Linked DNA regions of Nothobranchius furzeri. The protein of the gene in region 1 interacts with the protein of each later gene in a pairwise test. Links are inferred from orthologs where the notes say so. Each region holds a gene or a part of one and is shown in the gene's direction. Other genes may lie near its edges.

What was found.
Region 2: the proteins of c11h1orf35 (region 1) and thap1 interact in binary tests that used the Homo sapiens proteins (3 or more experiments, as listed by UniProt). The two-hybrid records come from large-scale screens. The link is inferred for Nothobranchius furzeri from reciprocal best matches to the Homo sapiens genes C1orf35 and THAP1.
Region 3: the proteins of c11h1orf35 (region 1) and dachd interact in binary tests that used the Homo sapiens proteins (3 or more experiments, as listed by UniProt). The two-hybrid records come from large-scale screens. The link is inferred for Nothobranchius furzeri from reciprocal best matches to the Homo sapiens genes C1orf35 and DACH1.
Region 4: the proteins of c11h1orf35 (region 1) and stac3 interact in binary tests that used the Homo sapiens proteins (3 or more experiments, as listed by UniProt). The two-hybrid records come from large-scale screens. The link is inferred for Nothobranchius furzeri from reciprocal best matches to the Homo sapiens genes C1orf35 and STAC3.

What each region holds. Positions count from the first base shown.
Region 1 is NC_091751.1:49,802,855-49,807,045, reverse strand, and holds the start of c11h1orf35 (multiple myeloma tumor-associated protein 2), read left to right. Parts: upstream 1-1,390; 5' UTR 1,391-1,455; coding exon 1,456-1,612; exon of another isoform or gene 1,613-1,631; intron 1,632-3,849; coding exon 3,850-4,000; intron 4,001-4,088; coding exon 4,089-4,134; intron 4,135-4,191.
Region 2 is NC_091746.1:71,097,258-71,101,501, reverse strand, and holds the start of thap1 (THAP domain-containing protein 1), read left to right. Parts: upstream 1-1,434; 5' UTR 1,435-1,549; coding exon 1,550-1,620; intron 1,621-3,362; exon of another isoform or gene 3,363-3,495; coding exon of another isoform or gene 3,496-3,497; intron 3,498-4,126; coding exon 4,127-4,244. UniProt on the Homo sapiens protein: DNA-binding transcription regulator that regulates endothelial cell proliferation and G1/S cell-cycle progression.
Region 3 is NC_091754.1:28,370,454-28,374,477, forward strand, and holds the start of dachd (dachshund d), read left to right. Parts: upstream 1-1,214; 5' UTR 1,215-1,510; coding exon 1,511-2,067; intron 2,068-4,024. UniProt on the Homo sapiens protein: Transcription factor that is involved in regulation of organogenesis. Seems to be a regulator of SIX1, SIX6 and probably SIX5.
Region 4 is NC_091755.1:32,734,721-32,738,918, forward strand, and holds the start of stac3 (SH3 and cysteine-rich domain-containing protein 3), read left to right. Parts: upstream 1-1,388; 5' UTR 1,389-1,587; intron 1,588-2,275; 5' UTR 2,276-2,305; coding exon 2,306-2,313; intron 2,314-2,755; coding exon 2,756-2,834; intron 2,835-3,007; coding exon 3,008-3,164; intron 3,165-3,243; coding exon 3,244-3,341; intron 3,342-3,453; coding exon 3,454-3,514; intron 3,515-4,198. UniProt on the Homo sapiens protein: Required for normal excitation-contraction coupling in skeletal muscle and for normal muscle contraction in response to membrane depolarization. Required for normal Ca(2+) release from the sarcplasmic reticulum, which ultimately leads to muscle contraction.

The sequences.
Region 1 (4,191 bases):
CCAGCCTGTCCTGGGTCTCCCTTTAAGTCTCCTCCTTGTTGGATGTGTCTGGAAAACATCACCAGAGTTCAGGAGGCATCCTAACCAGATCTACTCTGATTCCCTCCCAGATGACTGAGCTTCTCACCCTATTTCTAAGGAAAATTCTGGACATCCTGTGGAGAAAACGTCATTTTGGCCACTTGTGTCTGCAACCTCTTTCCTTCGGTCAATACCCAAAGCTTGTGACCATACTATAGATGAGGGTCGGAATGTACATGGACCAGTCTTCCAGCTCATCTCTCTCTTTACACCACAACAGGCTGCATTACTAGTACAACACCCTTATATACCTAAACATCTCCACTTGAGGCAGGACCTAGTCCCTGACCTGGAGAAGGCATTCTACCCTTTTTTGACTCAAAACCATGGTCTCAGATTTGGAAGAGCTGATTATCATCCTGTCTGCACTCGGCTGCGTACTACTCAAGTAAACGTTGGAGATTATTAAAATATCTAAAATAAATTTAAATATGTACAAAAACATTAAAAACTTCCATTAAGACAAGTTAAATCCAAATTACATGAAGAGAAAAGAAGGGCAGCAACAGTTTTTTTACAAATGGCAGTTAAAATTAGGATTTCTAATGAGAACATGATATGATGAGACAAAATGAAAAAGTTTGCATCTTCTTTCATTTATTTAGCACAATTTTATGAAATGCATTTTTAGAAAATGCTTTATCTGTCTTTGCTACCTTCTTGTGCTATGTTTTTGCACCTTAAATGTGTCTTTATCAAAATGTACCATGTTTATCTACATCGATATGACGTAACCCTATTTGCGGTGCAAGTTGGCTTGGTATGTGGGACTACCTTCAATTATTATAATGACAATAAAGGAGTAATCAAAAAAATTAAATAGGCATTTATCATTTACAGTGTGGACTGAGTTTCAGAGATCCTTAACACATTTCTCTGTATAGAATTTCCTTTGAAGGGGCATTAAAATACAAATACTTAGCTAAGTATTTCAGATAATTGTAATGAATAGTTTGACTAATAAGAACAAAATTCCCCTAAAAGGAAAAAAAGCAGGCATTTCTAAAGAAAAGAGAAAAAAAAGTTTGGTTTGAATATATGCTACAGTTGCTTGCCATAAAACTCACCAAACAATTCCCCGGATGAGCGCACGCTGAAGGCCTGCCTAATCGCGCAGCTCCTGCGGCTAACGTTAGCTGCTAACGGTGCGAAACATTTCTCCCAAATCTTCGACTCAAACTGCAGAAATGTTTGGTTCTTCGAGATCCGGAGGCTTACGAGGAGGCCAGGATCAGTTTAACTGGGATGACGTGAAAGTCGATAAACACAGAGAAAATTATCTCGGTAAGTACGTGCGTCTAGCTGCGCTATCAGTGCTAGCCAGAGTGGGCGAGCAAGCAAGCAACTGAGCGAGATAGTTCAAATCGTGTTAAAATGCACACTTTGGCCCCACAGGCGTCTTCCCATACCTTTTGTATTGGAGTCCCTCATTACACAGATCTTGGATGGTTTTTATGGCGTCTTACTTTCTACTTTACACACAGCAGGACCCTACTTTCTTTTCCACCTCTGAACCCTGAACAGAAAGCAGGTAGGCTCTCCGCTCCCCCTGAGCGCTGCCAACTAGCTAGTCAGCATGCCAGACACGAGCTACGTAGCAGTCAGCGCAAATGTGACCCAAATGGGATCAAAAGTCACATTTCTGTTTGGAATGTTGTGTTTTGGGGTTCAGGTCCATCTTGACAGTTGTTGATGTTAACATTGTCTGATAAAGAACTCATGGATGCTAAGCTACAAATGTGGAGTTTCTCTAAGAGATGCTGCACACATTTTTCCTTATTAGATATGAACCTTTAAAAGATTTTCATGGTCATGCATGAAGACAAGACTACCAGACCAGATCTTAAGTGTTTCAAAGACTGCATAAATGTTTACAAGTGAAATGTTTAATATTTAACATTATGCCACTCCTAAGTTTATTCAGTAAATAATTCAATTCAGGTTATTAAATAGTGCCAAATCAAGAGAAGACTCGTCTCACAAAGTTAACATTCCAATACAGTTCAGTTCATTAAGCCAGTCAGTAAAAAGTTTCCAGCAGATTGCATCAAGTCACTGACTTGTGTCAGTGTCTTTGCAGCAATCTTCATACTAAGCAAGCATGTAGCGACAGTGGAGAGGAAAACTCCCTTTTAAGAGGAAGAAACATCCAGAGGATCCTGGTTCAGTATGAGCAGAAATGAAAGGTTACCCCTATTTCACACTGGAGGCATCAGCAGTGCGGAACGGTTTACTTTCGCTGCGTGCCAGTACACACTGGGAGAATCTCAGCCATGGACCGGCTTCTCTGCCTCGCTTAAAGTGACAGTGTGTATTTTTCCTGGTGATAGGGGGCAGTAGATACCTAAATTGTTGCAAGGAAGCTGTATTTTTGTGTTGGAGTAAGACTTTAATAATGGATGCCCATTAGGGTCAAAAAGCCCTGGGGAGTGCAAACTTCAGTAAAATGCAGCACATCAGGCTCCCTTTCATCAGTGGCAACAAGTGAAGAGGTAAATGTGTAAAACAACGTTTATGAATGGTGAAAGTTTTGCAACAGTTGTTACAAATCAGTAATGTATTTTGTCCTCAAGGGCTCCTGTAGAAGGAAACACAGCATCTAGTATGGCGTCACCGTGAGACTTTGATCCTCTTCCATGTATTTTAGACCAGATTTTTATGGTTATGTTAAGAAGCCGCCAATATTTTTCAACAACTGGGCCTCATTTAATTCATGTTCAACATTTTGATGGATATTTCCAGAGATTAATGATAAAAACTACACATTGTCTCTTTAACTTGCAAGATCACAAAATCCCTCAAGACTTCAAAGCAAGGCCCGACCGATATATCGCCCGGCCGATATTATCGTCCGATATTGGGGTCATTAACACTATAGGCTATCGGCCAAAAAGATGGCCGATATGGCCGATATTGTGCTACCGATCCAGCAGATGGCACCAGCTTTATGAACTCATGTTGTGTGGCTCCACTACTTTGAACACAAATGATTTATGCTGTGACTGAGTTTGTGTGTTCTGTTGTTTTTGAGATCTGCTTAATAAATCTTATTTGCATTACTTGGAAACCCTAGTGAGTTATTGAGACAGTTCTTTGGTGTGTAACAGAGAAATAAGTTTGTATCAAAAAGGCAGAGAATGAGGGACATTTATCAGCCATTATATCGGCTATCGGCCTTTGTTAAAAGTTTTATATCGGTATTGGCCCCAAAAAAAGCATATCGGTCGAGCCCTACTTCAAAGATCACGGTTTGTTTATACCATCTGCTATTAATCCAAAAAGAAGTAAATCATGTTTGATGTCATAGATGATGCTGTTTCTCTCCACTGCCAGGATTAAACCCATGAAAAACACACCGCTGCACTTCTGGAACGATGCTGGGAGTAAAAAAGCTGTTAGTTCACATTTGTTGACGTAATCTACATATATGGGAAATGACATTGCTGCAATAGTCTTTCATTTTGAAAATTACCCGGGCATTTTACACTGAAACCGTGTCTAGCCTGTCTAGCCCTATGTTAACTTCGTAAATGACGTGTCCCAGAATCGGTCCACGGCAAAAATAGAACCTGATCTTCAGCGGCACGGCTGGTTTGAATCACCCCCATAGACTTTAATGGATTCTATTTTGAAGCAGTGCTGTTCTGTGCCGCTTATTCTTCCAGTGTGAAGTAGGGGTTAGAGTTAGAAACGTTGGTATAATGCAAGCGAAACTGGATTGCAGATTTAGTCTTTTTTCCTTGTACGCACATTCTCCTTTTGTTCCAGGAAACTCTTTAAAGGCACCAGTAGGACGGTGGCAAAAGGGGAAAGATCTGACATGGTACGCTAAAGACAAAAAGACTGGGAAAGCTTTGTCCAAGGCAGATGAACTTGCTTCTGTGAAGGCAGCAGAACACGAGGCGATGATGGCTGCCTTGTACGTGGAACTCCTCTTCAAATACATGTTGGTATCTATGAAGTTCAGATCATAAAAATATTTATTTATGTTTTAAATTCTCATCTAGAGGACACAAGAGTATAAAGAGACAACCAACTGGCCTTACCAAAGAGGTATGTGACAAAATGGAGAACATCTTTAAACATTTTAACGTGATTAAAAATGAATTC
Region 2 (4,244 bases), on another chromosome or scaffold:
GAACGGGGCTAGCTCTGGTGTCCAGGGATGGTTGTGTCCTCTGCGCAGTAGTACCTGGTAGTGATGTGTCGGTCGCGAACGAACCGGCTCTAAGAGCCGACTCTTTGAAGTGAACGATGGGAGCCCTCCCCCTCCCCCCCTGCCTTGGTGAAAGCTGCAGGTGATTGGTCAACATGTGTAACTGCGTGTCCAGACTGTCCACACACAGAGCAGTAGGGGCGGAGAAGAGGGAGGATCAGACTCAGACACACAGCAGAGCACATGCGGGCGGAGGGAGGCGAGCGGGAATGAGGAGGAGGAAAAAGGCAGAGAGAGGAGAGTGCGACGAAGACGGTGAGAAAATTAGCGCCAGCAGTCGGAAAGTGGAGATTTCTTAAAGTGTTCAGTTATTAAATCCATAGAAATGATAAATATTTGATACACAGCATTTTTTTACATTAGTAAATCATTTTACAAATAGTTTTGCATTATTTTGGTTATAAATGTATTCTGCGCAAAAGAAAATCTGAGGAGCCACTTGGGAGCCGAAAGAGCCGGCTCTTTTTGGTGAGCTGAGCCATTCCCATCACTAGTACCAGGACCAGAGTGAATAGGGTGTGTGTGTGTGTGTGTGTGTGTGTGTGTGTGTGTGTAAGCATGAGGGATGCATGTACGTCAGGTGGGGTCTTGGACTCCTCTCCTCTGCTGAGACATCTTGAGGTGTTACGACATCTTCGCGTACCCTCCTGCCACTTGTTCTACCGGTGGGCGGTGCCTCGGTCTGCCTGCATATCTAAATGCACTATGAATTATTATGGTATGCTTCCCAGCATAAGCAGTTACTGTTATATATCCTCATGCTGTTGGAGCAGCGATGTTTTGTCTTGTTGTATTTTTGTGTGTCTCCTTTTCACGCTCTCTCTCTCTCTCTCTCTCTCTCTCTCTCTCTCTCTCTCTCTCTCTCTCTCTCTCTCTCTCTCCAGAAGCTGATTCTTCTTCATCATTTATTATTTATATAATTCATCCTCCCTCACCTCTTCCTTCACTCTCCCCCTTTCTCTCACAGCTGTCTCTGTGTCCGAAAGTGTTGCTAATAAAGTTTTGGTGTCAGCAGTGGCTACGGCAGAAGCTGTGAGCTCCACCTGAGAGAATAAAGCTGCAAGGCTCGTCTTCAGCAGTCAGACATCAGTTCTGGTTGCTTCACAGCCGGACAGGACACGGTAAAAAGACAACAAAAGGATATTTGTATGAAATCAAGTGATAGTTATTAAAAGCATTCAAAGAAAAGATGTTTTTTGTCCAACTGCTCTTCTGTGACTATTTTATTTTATCCTTTACTTATTTTATTTTTATTTTTTTTATCTGCAACGATTTATAATAAAAAAAATTCTAACAAGTTTCGCTTCACACACTAAAATGACAGTTACCAGGAAGAGAGGCCAATCAGGGGGCAGAACGCGGGTCAGGTGACCCTGTCTCCGCCGCCATGTTTGTTATTGGCAGTGAAGCCTGATCGGACTGACGGCAACGAGGTTTGGCGGAGGTTCGGTTCGTTTTCTGGGATGAAACAATGGTCCAGACGTGCTCAGCCTATGGCTGTAAGAACCGGTACCACAAAGACAAAGATGTCTCCTTCCACAAGTAAGTTCGGCTCCGGTGTTTCTGCGCCGACTCTCGTTAGCCCGCCCGAGCTTCGGTCCGGTCTCAGAAACAGCCTCGTTCAGTCACAGCAGTCTATTCATTCATGTTTTCGTGCTGAATGAAGCAGAAGTCCGAGCAGCGGCCTCACAGAGGAACCACCTGTTCAACAGGTGTCCAGGTGTTGTAGTCCCATTAGTCTGACATGTTGGAGCAAAACCAGAGCAGCTAGTGGTTAGGACCAGTTTATTCTACAAACACAGAAACACCTCCAGTTGTCCAGACTGGTGGAGCATAAAACCAGGTGTGGCGAGGCCTCAGGCTAGATGTGGAGGGGCATCAGAGCAGGTGTGGAGCAGCAGCAGCCAAGTGAGGAGGAGCATAAAACCAGGTGTGGAGAGAACTCAGGCCAGGTGTGGAGGAGCGTCGGCGCAGGTGTGTTTCACACTTCCTGGTGTTTAGATAAACATTCAGTACTTCAGTAAAGTTGCTGTAATTAATGCGGCGTCATCGGGTCACGTGGAGAAACTCAGGTTTTTATTAAAAGTCGTTTATTTTATCGCTGGAATCATTTTGGATTTTTTCACTAAAATCTTCATCATTCTGCTTTCTCACAGATCAGCTACAGAGGCTGGTTCTGGCTCGGGTTCTGGTTCCTCCAGAACTCATCAGTCACTTTGTCTGAGTTGACGTTTGTTCATTTTCATCACCACCACCGTGCTTTGCTCTGATGGAGTGAGAACATGTCCTCCTTCCGGTGGAGGTCATGACCTCCATGCTAATCATCTCTGGCTGTAGAGACGGTCTGGATTTGTCCTCAGAACCAGAACCAGACCAAAGCTCCGTCATCCTCTCCTGATCTAGAGCAGACTGGACTCACAGGATGGGTCCTTTTTAGTCCACTGGACCTGGTTTCTTTTCTCAGCCTCTGATGGTTTGGGTTCCTGACGGTTCTTGAAGACGTTTCGGATCTTCTCGTGTTTCTACCTGCAGCCGTCGGTTTTACTGAGCCCAGTTGTGTTTAGAAGTAGAAGTGATGAGGTAGTTCTGTTTCACCTGTCTTCAGTGTTGGGAGTAACGACGTTTAAATATAACGGCGTTGCTAACGGCGTTCTTTTTTAGGTAACGGAATAATTTAATTGATTACTTTTCCCACTGCTGCAACGCCGTTACCGTTACCACGTGCTTGTCGAACGTTGAGCAGCAGCGTGAGGCTTTCTGACCGCCACACTTCAGCTGCAGCCAGGGAGAGAGAGGTGTCGGTAACGCACTTACAAACACGATGGTGATTGGCCGGGTGGGCGGAGACCCTCACGGTCTCAGTCGCTGCATTCTGTAGACACAACAGAGCAGTGATGGGAATAACGCCGTTTAAAATAACCGCGTTAATAAAAAAAAAGTGTTCCTGTAACGAGCAAACTAATTAATTACCGTCTTCTTTTATCAAAACGTCATTTCTGTTACTGATAAGGAAATGCGTGCGTTAAGCAGCGCGGTGTGTTGAAGCTGTCATCAGCTGATCAGGAGCTAAAGAGGTAGATGTTTTCATCCAAGAGCATCACGGACCGTGAAGAACGAGGAAGACGTGATGAATGATTCGCTGCTGCAGTAGCGAATCTGTGGGTCTGCAGCCGTGCTCTTAGCGTGACAGCGGGACGTCCCGAAGGTCCGCTCACCTGTTCACCTCTCAGACGTCCTGATCTTCTACCTTCCTAGATCATCCAGCTGTAACCTGTTTCTGATCATGTCTTTAGTCCCGCTGTAACACTGATGCATCAGTCTCAGACGTCATGGAGCTCAGGTGTTATCAGAACTACCTGTGTGTGTTTACCACCCAGCTTCAGCTCTTCTGTGGTTGGGTCTGACCCAAGTTAGTAAATGTAAGTCCTCCATCAGGCTTGTGCCTCTTCTAGTGTCATTTTAAAGGATTTTATTTATTTATTTAACCGTTACTAGATTACCTGCAACAGAAATGCTACTAAAAACACACAATTATGTGAAGCTGGAAAAATTAAAATACCGTAGAAAATTACATTTATTTCTGTAATTTAACTAGACTGAGAGACCATTTAAAGGCTCGGGAACCTTTACAGGTGTTTCTATTTGCAATTTTAAATGTTAGCTGATTGGGTTTTTGTTAAATATCACACAGAGACCTTTTAATAGTCTAGATAAGTGTAATGTTCCTATTAGTAGTTCCTCCTGTTAAGTGCTTATTTATTTAAATTATTCAGGTTTTATTATGTTCCAGTCATTAGTCATTTATATTTCACTATTATAGTAATTCTTGCATTCTTTAATGAAAAAAGTAACTAAGTAGTTATTTTTCTTGGTAATTAGTTACTTTTATAATCTTGTAACTGAGTTACTTTTTTTGACAAAGTAATCAGTAACTATAACTAATTGCTTTTTAAAGTAACGTTCCCAACACTGCCTGTCTTCATCTGAATGACGTTCCTGTGAGGACTTCACTTCCCCAGCTGTTGTACCATTTGACGTGTTTTCCCAGGTTTCCTTTGGCCCGTCCAGATGTTTGTGGGAAATGGGTCGCTGCCATGAGGAGGAACAACTTCAAACCCACCAAGTACAGCAACATCTGCTCCCAGCATTTCACCAAAGACTGCTTC
Region 3 (4,024 bases), on another chromosome or scaffold:
CACTGCCTCATGTCCATCAAATGTGAGTTAATTAACTTTACATCTTCACATATCCATCTGTTCGAGTGTTATTACTCCACAATAAAACAATTTTTATCATGTATTTTTAAATGGACAGAGATTGGAGCAGACTGCAAGTGCTGCACTCCTGGAATGAGGATTTTTGTATGAAAAATAGTCAGTTGATGATGAATCACTGCAGTCCAGATTTAATGAGGGACCTCACATCCACATCATCTCAGAGTGTTCCACGTGAGAAGATGCCTCAATCAACAGTATGGTTTGCATTGAAAACCTTTAGTTTGTAATTTGAAGATGTTGATTTTATTTTACTTCACTTATACAGAAAAAGAACAAAGCAACCAGGAAAAGTCAGTTTCATTAGGAGTGATGAGTCAGAAAATGTGACAGACTAGAAATAAAATAATTATAATCATATGAATGCAAACTCTACATAGACAATGTGCTGTGAGAATGTATTTACACCCTTACAGATTAGTTTTTTTAGTCACTTAAAAATATCAGATCAGCAAATAATTTATACTATCAGATAAAAGTGATGGAAATGAACACAACATGCACTTGTTAACCAATACACACATTTACTAAGGGAAATAAAATTATCCAAACTAATTATCCCACTTGTAAATAAAATATCCCAGGCCAAAGAAGCAAATACTTTAAATCTGTCTCTTGATTAACAAAAAACACTGTGATGATTCACCAAGACTTTGGGGAAAATATGTTGTGAACTGAAATGTAACTTTTTGTTGTGTAACATCTGGAGTAAAGTGAATTTCAACAGTCAAACACAGAGGTGGCAGTGTGATGGTCTGGAGCTGCTTTGCTGTAATTGATGATTGTTTTGCTGGAAAACACTCCAATGTGGCTGAATGAAAACAATTCTGTAAAGAAGAATGGGACAAAGCTCCTCCACAGTGATGAGAGACTCTTTAGTTACCACAAAATTGCAAAATAAAGTTCAGGTGTCCACAGAGCCAAGGTGTTTTAGATCAAATCTGGGAAGGTGGCATATTTTCTCAGGTTATCTTTGATCCAGGACTTTGTTTATGTGACGAAAGAGCACAAACAAAAGAAAAGAGTAAGGGGGCTGGTACTTTCCCACAGCCCTGCAGGAGGAGTTAGTCAGAAGGAAACAGATGTAAACTCGGCGAGTTCTGTGTCTTTACGCAGACCTGAAACAGTTTGGAGCTCTTCAAAGCCCTCCACTGTCCCCTAGCTCCTCCCTCTCTGTACCGTGTGACAACAACAACTCATTCACAGAGCGGAGCTGCACTTTTCAGCTCATTTTCCTCCTGTCATTCCTCCTCCTATCTTTGATCATTGTCCCGCCGCTCGCCCCCCCTCCAACCCCCCCAGAAAGCTCTCACTCAGCACGCCTTTTTTCGGGTTAGCTCCTGAGGAGCTAAACTCTGAGGGATTCTTCATTCAGCAAGCTGGGTTTTCCACTTTGAACTTCGGCTCCTCTCTTCCCCTCCTCTAGGTGACCATGGCCGTACCGGCTGCTCTCATCCCACCGACTCCTCTGGTCCCGCCGCCTCCGATCTCTACTCCCTCCGCCACCACGTCCCCGCCGTCGACAACTTCATCACCGTCTCCATCCTTGGTCCCCCCGTCGGGACCCGGACAGAACCTGTTCCGATCGGAGCTCCTCGCCACCGGCAGTCCGGGCATCCCGAACCCGAGCGCGGCTCTGCCGCCGGGCAAACCCGTCTACTCGACCCCGTCTCCTGTTGAGAACATCCCGCAGAACAACGAGTGCAAGATGGTCGAGTTGCGCGGCGCGAAGGTAGCCTCGTTCACGGTGGACGGCTGCGAGCTCATCTGCCTCCCGCAGGCGTTCGACCTGTTCTTGAAGCACCTGGTCGGCGGACTGCACACGGTCTACACCAAGCTCAAGCGGCTGGAGATCACGCCGGTGGTGTGCAACGTGGAGCAGGTCCGCATCCTCAGAGGGCTCGGCGCCATCCAGCCCGGTGTGAACCGCTGCAAACTCATCTCCAGAAAGGACTTCGAGACTCTCTACAACGACTGCACCAACGCAAGGTTAGTGGAGCGCTCCGGCGTGTTTAAAGGTCCCCACCGAACCGTGCGTAAAGGCGCACGAGCAAGCAAGGGGGAGACATTTTCCCCTTTTCGCACAAACACTCTACATCCAAATACACAGTTCCTAATTTGTCCACGTGCATGCATGCATGTGTTTGTAAGAGGATGTTTCATGCAGATGCTGGAGTGTGTGTTGGAGCGAAAGAGACCAGCGCGCATCATGGAAAAAGTTGGGTGAAAGTTTTTAGCACGTGCACACTAAAGCTGAACATTGACATTTTGCTTCAGTTTCATGAATTCGGAATCAAACAATATAAATAAAACAGGTAAACAAAGATATGAGAGCTGAATCACGAAAACATAATTTTATATTTTTGTTTTCTTAAATGAAACTCGAGCCAGTTCCATTTAATTTTCCAGAAACAATAAAGTCTCAAAGAGCAAGAGCAGTTTTCATAACTTTGTTTCCTCTTGTGTTTGCGGCCTGAATCAGATATAATTCATAGTTGAATAAAGTAGGCTAATTTAATTAGTAAACTTAGTTTAATTTTACATTAATTAATTAACTGAACGTCCCTAATTGTTACAAAACAAATACAATAACTCAGATGTGTGTATACGAATGCACCAAATCAAATAATTTCAGCCTTTTAAAAATAAAATCTGAGTGATTTAAGCAAAGATCAATATTTGATTAAAAGTCGTTTTCATCCTCCCCTGTTGCTCCTGTATTTTTGATGCATGGCTCAGCCTCACAGGATGGTTCAGCCTGGTCAAATTTACCATCCCACCTGTCACTTTGATTGATTTCCCATCGATCCCCTACCCAGAGATGAGCAGGAAATGCAGATATGATGGAAACACTCATCAGTGATGGAGGACAGAAAATAAACACTTAAAGTTATTTTGGGTGTCGTTTAAAATGATCTATTTTATAAGAAATGCTGAGTTAGATCAATCCCAGAACCACACATCAGGAGATGTTTTGTGCCAAAAAGATTCATTTTAATTAATTAGATTTATCCTAATAAATGTGTTAATTAATTAGGTCTGAAAATGCTAAACTAATTTAATTACATCTCAGATTTTCATGTTGTTTGTATTTAAATATATTTTTTTTTTACAGTTTTAGCCTTTAGTTCATTTGTTTTATAGCTGATTTATAATGAATTCAGCCTCACACGTCGTCAAGAAACATGATGCAGCTTCAAATTCTCATTCCAGTGCAGCAATTGTCTCAACAATTCACCTCTGTACTTTGGTGCTTAAGCATCATTTACATAAAGCATCAAGGGAGCTGAGCATCACCCCACACACACACACACACACACACACACACACACACACACACACACACACACACACACACACACACACACACACACACACACACACACACACACACACACACACACATCCCTGCACACTCCGTGAGTGGTACAGTATGGTGTGGCGTGGCGGTGTTGAGCTCCAGGTGACAAAGTATGTGGCTGAACTCTCCGGGTTGTCAATGGGGGGATGGCCAGCTATGGGGTTAAAGGATAATGCAGTACCTCGCGTCGCTTTAATGACGCTAAAGTGCTGGGCTATTACGGGCACATGGACAGGACTGTAATTGTCTCTGAAAGCAGCCAGGTTCTCCCGGTGCTGGGCTGAAATCAATCACTCAGACCTCGGCCTGCCTGCCTGCCCCATTTGGAGAATTACATCATGGAGCAGCGAGGCATCCTGCAGGATAAAAGGCTTCTGTTACTTAGAAAGAGTTGATTTTATTTGCAGGGATGAGCGCTTTGCTCTTGTCTGTTGCTGAAATGCTGCTGACAAAACGATCACTTTGAGTAAACAGGACACAGGTTGCCCTGGAGGTGAAAACAAGTCCCTCTCTTTAAAGTTGTGCTTTTTCCACCAGTGGGATAAAAGTATCTGAGTTCAGCGGTTTACCCCGCTCGGGTTGCAC
Region 4 (4,198 bases), on another chromosome or scaffold:
CATGAAACTTATCCACACATTTCACTTATTAACAAATATTTGTTAGCTAACGTCAACATGTTGTGAACAATCTTTCTCTGCGTCAAGCTATGTGTTGACCACCAAGTTTAGAAGTCTTCGCTCTTTTTCGTTCGCTGGAAAATCAAGAGTTAGCTAGTTAGGACTACTAAATTAATACTAAATAAAATACGTAGAAAACGATCAACACTCTAATAACTAAAACGAATCATTACATAATCCAAATCACGAACTGGCACGGCGAGTCAGCACTCAAATGTTAGTCAACGTCTTCCAGTCGGACTTAAAAACAAAGGGGGCAATAACGCTTCATTTTACTACGCCTGGGTTCTTCTGGAGGCTAGCGTTCCCAGCTAGGCTAACTGGAGGGGCTAACTCAGTGATATTTACTTGTTCTAGAGTGTCCCACAAAGACAGAGGGATGTCCCGTTCCCGCTCCACACCTATCCAGCCGTCGCTTTGGTCTTTCTTCTGCTAATCCGCATAGCATTCAATGGTATTCCGACAAACATAACGACCCGTGTAATCCCCAATTCACAGTTACCCTCTGTTTTTTTCTTACAAATTCCGAGAAAAAAATAATGGAGTTTTGTTTTGCGCAGGCGCACTGAGCACGTAAGGAATATTGTACCCAACATGCAACGAGACATTTGTAGTGTTCCAGTCAGACGTCAATCCACAGGGGGCGCTGTTTGGTGGACAGGACATAACAGAATAATATTCCGTAAACAACTAATAAATACACAAACAAATAAATGTATTATATTTGTGTACAACGTTTTAACCTCTACATCAACAAAATACACCTTTGTAAAAAAGTATTCTGAGTTGGAGTTAATACTGGGCTGACAGCTCAAAAATATTTTGTATATAAACAGAGGAAAAACTTTATAGGATTATTTGTTACAAATGAAATAAAACAACGAATAAAGATGCTTGCTAGAGTGGTTGAGTTACATGGCAGTTATTGTTTAAAAATCAATGTTTCTTTTATGTATTTATCCAGCTTTTGCAGCATCTACTAGCATTCAGAACAACTTGAACATATATATAAATAAAATAGTTTTTACAACTTTGAAAGAGATGTAGTCATTTTTGTTGTTTCTCCTTGGTCTCCCAAAAGAATGGAGGGATACAGGCCCATGAGCAGGACAGATACCTTTGTGTGTGTGTGCGTGCGTGCGTGCGTGCGTGCGTGTGTGTGTGTGTGTGTGTGTGTGTGTGTGTGTGTGTATGTGTGTGTGTGTGTGTGTGTGTGTGTGTGTGTGTGTGTGTGTGTGTGTGTGTGTGTGTGTGTGTGTGTGTAGAGAACATATCTGATTTCTCATCGTCACTGGTGCTTAGTTTGAGGTCCTTCAGCTGTTGCAAACTGTCAACGTCACAAAGCAGTGCTCAGCCTGTCATGCTCACAATTACACCCATAGATACACAAACTTACAGCTTTAATAAATATCTGGGTCGCACTCAGCATTCACGCCCAGTGTGGGAATAACCTGAAGGAAACACAGAGGGACCATACAGTACTGGATCCAGAAGTGCTGAAAAGTGAGGGAGCATTTTGGTCAGTTGGTAAGTCAAACTCTGCTTCAATGGCCACATAACACTTCAGAAAAATCTAGCAGGTGAAGGGAAGCATTTTTTTATTTACCTTTTCTGTGTAACCTCTAATAACTTGGTAAGTGATGGTGAAGTTTATGTGTAATTTTTAATTATGTCTCAAGTAGCAAAAATGCCTAATGGAATCGTTTTGTAGGAACGTTGTGTGAATGCTACATCCATTTAGCCCGTTATTTACTCATTTTTCCTGAAATTCTTTTATGCTGTCTGGAATATTTTCCTGACATGCAGCAGTTCCTAAATTTAGTTTTCAGATCAAATTTCAAAAACCAAGAATAGAGCAGGTCAGGATGACAAATGCTCTTTACCACTGTTTGCTACAAGGTATTAGCTCCGAATGTCACACAGAGAGAGACTAAAGACATGTTTTATGTCTCTGCTTGCTTTATAGTTAATAATTTGACCAGATCCTTGTCTGAAATAGTGAATTTCAACTATAGCAACAATTTCCCTTGTCATCCAGGAACGTGTTTGGTGCTTAAAAACAAACAAGTCCTTCAAAATGTAGGCAAATCAGAAAAGAAACATGCAATCCAAAAGATGTGGCCTTGTTTTGCATTTAGGAAAAACGAGCTACTGACAAACTGCAAGTGCATCTTGAGAAAAGACAGACAGTAAAATGTACATGATTTCTTTTAAGGGTGCAGTATACTGATATTTCCAGCACTCCATGGATCAGTGAGTACAGTTCATGTCCATGTGCTGCATGTTTCTAACATCTCTGTGGGTTTCACTAAATAAAATCTGAGCTCTAAATTTACCAGTGCGACTAAAATCAGGTTTGTTTGAGGTGATGAACGGGGAATCTTGTTGAAGCACATCATGGTTCTCCTCAATGTTCCTGGTTTAAGAGTTCACTCATCAAAAAGGTGTGTGTTTGGATTTATATGTAACTGGTCTGGATCCTGGAGCCCTATCACCAGCTGGTTGATGTTTGTGCATGATGGGAAAAGGTGCGATGTAAAAAAAAATGTCCTTCAAACTTTGAGCAGTTTTCACATTAACGTTTGCTGATAAATCTCCTCACATGATCCAGATGTTCCCTCTGCGATACGTTTTTACACCACAGTCATGGCAGGTGGCTTCAGTTGGTCTTCATCTTTCTCTTTGTGCTTCTTAGAGAGGATGACAAAAACTCCGTGGACATCCACGACAATCCTCCAGCCCCTGACAATGTAGTGAGGGAGGAAGGAGACACGGTGAGTGGCAGCACCACGTCAACCACTCGCTATTAGCAGCCGTTCTCAGGCTGATTAAAATAGCCTCCAGCTGGGACGGGACTGCAATATGGTGTTTGTTTATATCTCATGAGTTAATAAATAAGTCCTGATCACCTGTATGGAACTGTTCTCTTCTTCGTCTTTGCTTGCAGGTCTATTTTATTTATGAGGAGGAGGTGGAGGTAGAGGAGAAGGAACCAGAACCTCCTTCCGAGCCCATTGTTCGGATCAATGACAAACCTCACAAGTTTAAGGACCATTACTGCAAGAAACCCAAGTTCTGTGACGTCTGCGCTCGCATGATAGTCTGTACGTGTTTAACCCAGAAAATATCACGAGACATATTTTGAGATTTATGATGATTCGGTTAACTTTGCACATCTCTTAGTGAACAACAAATTTTGTCTGAGGTGTAAAAACTGCAAGACCAACATCCACCATTCGTGTCAGTCCTATGTCGAGTTCCAGAAGTGCTTTGGAAAAATCGTGAGTTTTCTCTCTCTCACACACATTTGAATTTAAATGTCTAAAAAAGCACTACAGGACTAAATGGAAGGTTTTAGTTGAAATTTTTTCTTTTTTTTTCTTTGTCTTGTAGCCACCTGGCTTTAGAAGAGCCTATAGTTCTCCTCTGTACAGCAGCGACATCCCAGATCCAAGTGAGTCCATCAAACCTTCAATCACTCCTAGAATTAGTAATCCTTTATTTATTACTGCTAAATCAGAGTAAAATAATTAAATTTTACGGTGAATTCTTTTAAGCAGATGTGTAAAATTAGTAGGGAGGTCGGAAATATCGACATCAACATCATATCGGCTGATGTTTGTTTTTTATCTGTGTATCGGTCCAATAAGTAAAACTTGGCTGATACTTTCTTCCATCTAGTTGCTATTGTTGTATCTTGGAGAGAGATGGTCATGCAGTGAATTTTTAATCATGTCAATCAGTCAATCAATCAATCATTGAGAGCAATCTACAATTTATAATGGTTAGAAGTGCCCAATGTTGAAAAATCTTCCTTACAAAGGTGTAATTATATTTTAGGGATGTCCGTTACTAACAGCTAATGTTGGCATTTAAGGTGCATTATGTAGAAATGAAGTAAATATGACAATCTGTGGTAAAATCTGGTTGCTGCAATCACTTTAAACAACTCTGGAGCTTTTTGCCGGCCGTAGTCAAATTACAACTATCGGCGCTGCAGTATTAGCTCGCAGGAGACACAACAACCCCACACTTGTCATGTTCTGCGGGTGGTGGGTTTCAGGAGGCAGATGAGCAGGCAACGGATGAAAAAATTAAAAGATGTTTAATCGTAGACTGGGAGCAACAGGACGAACGA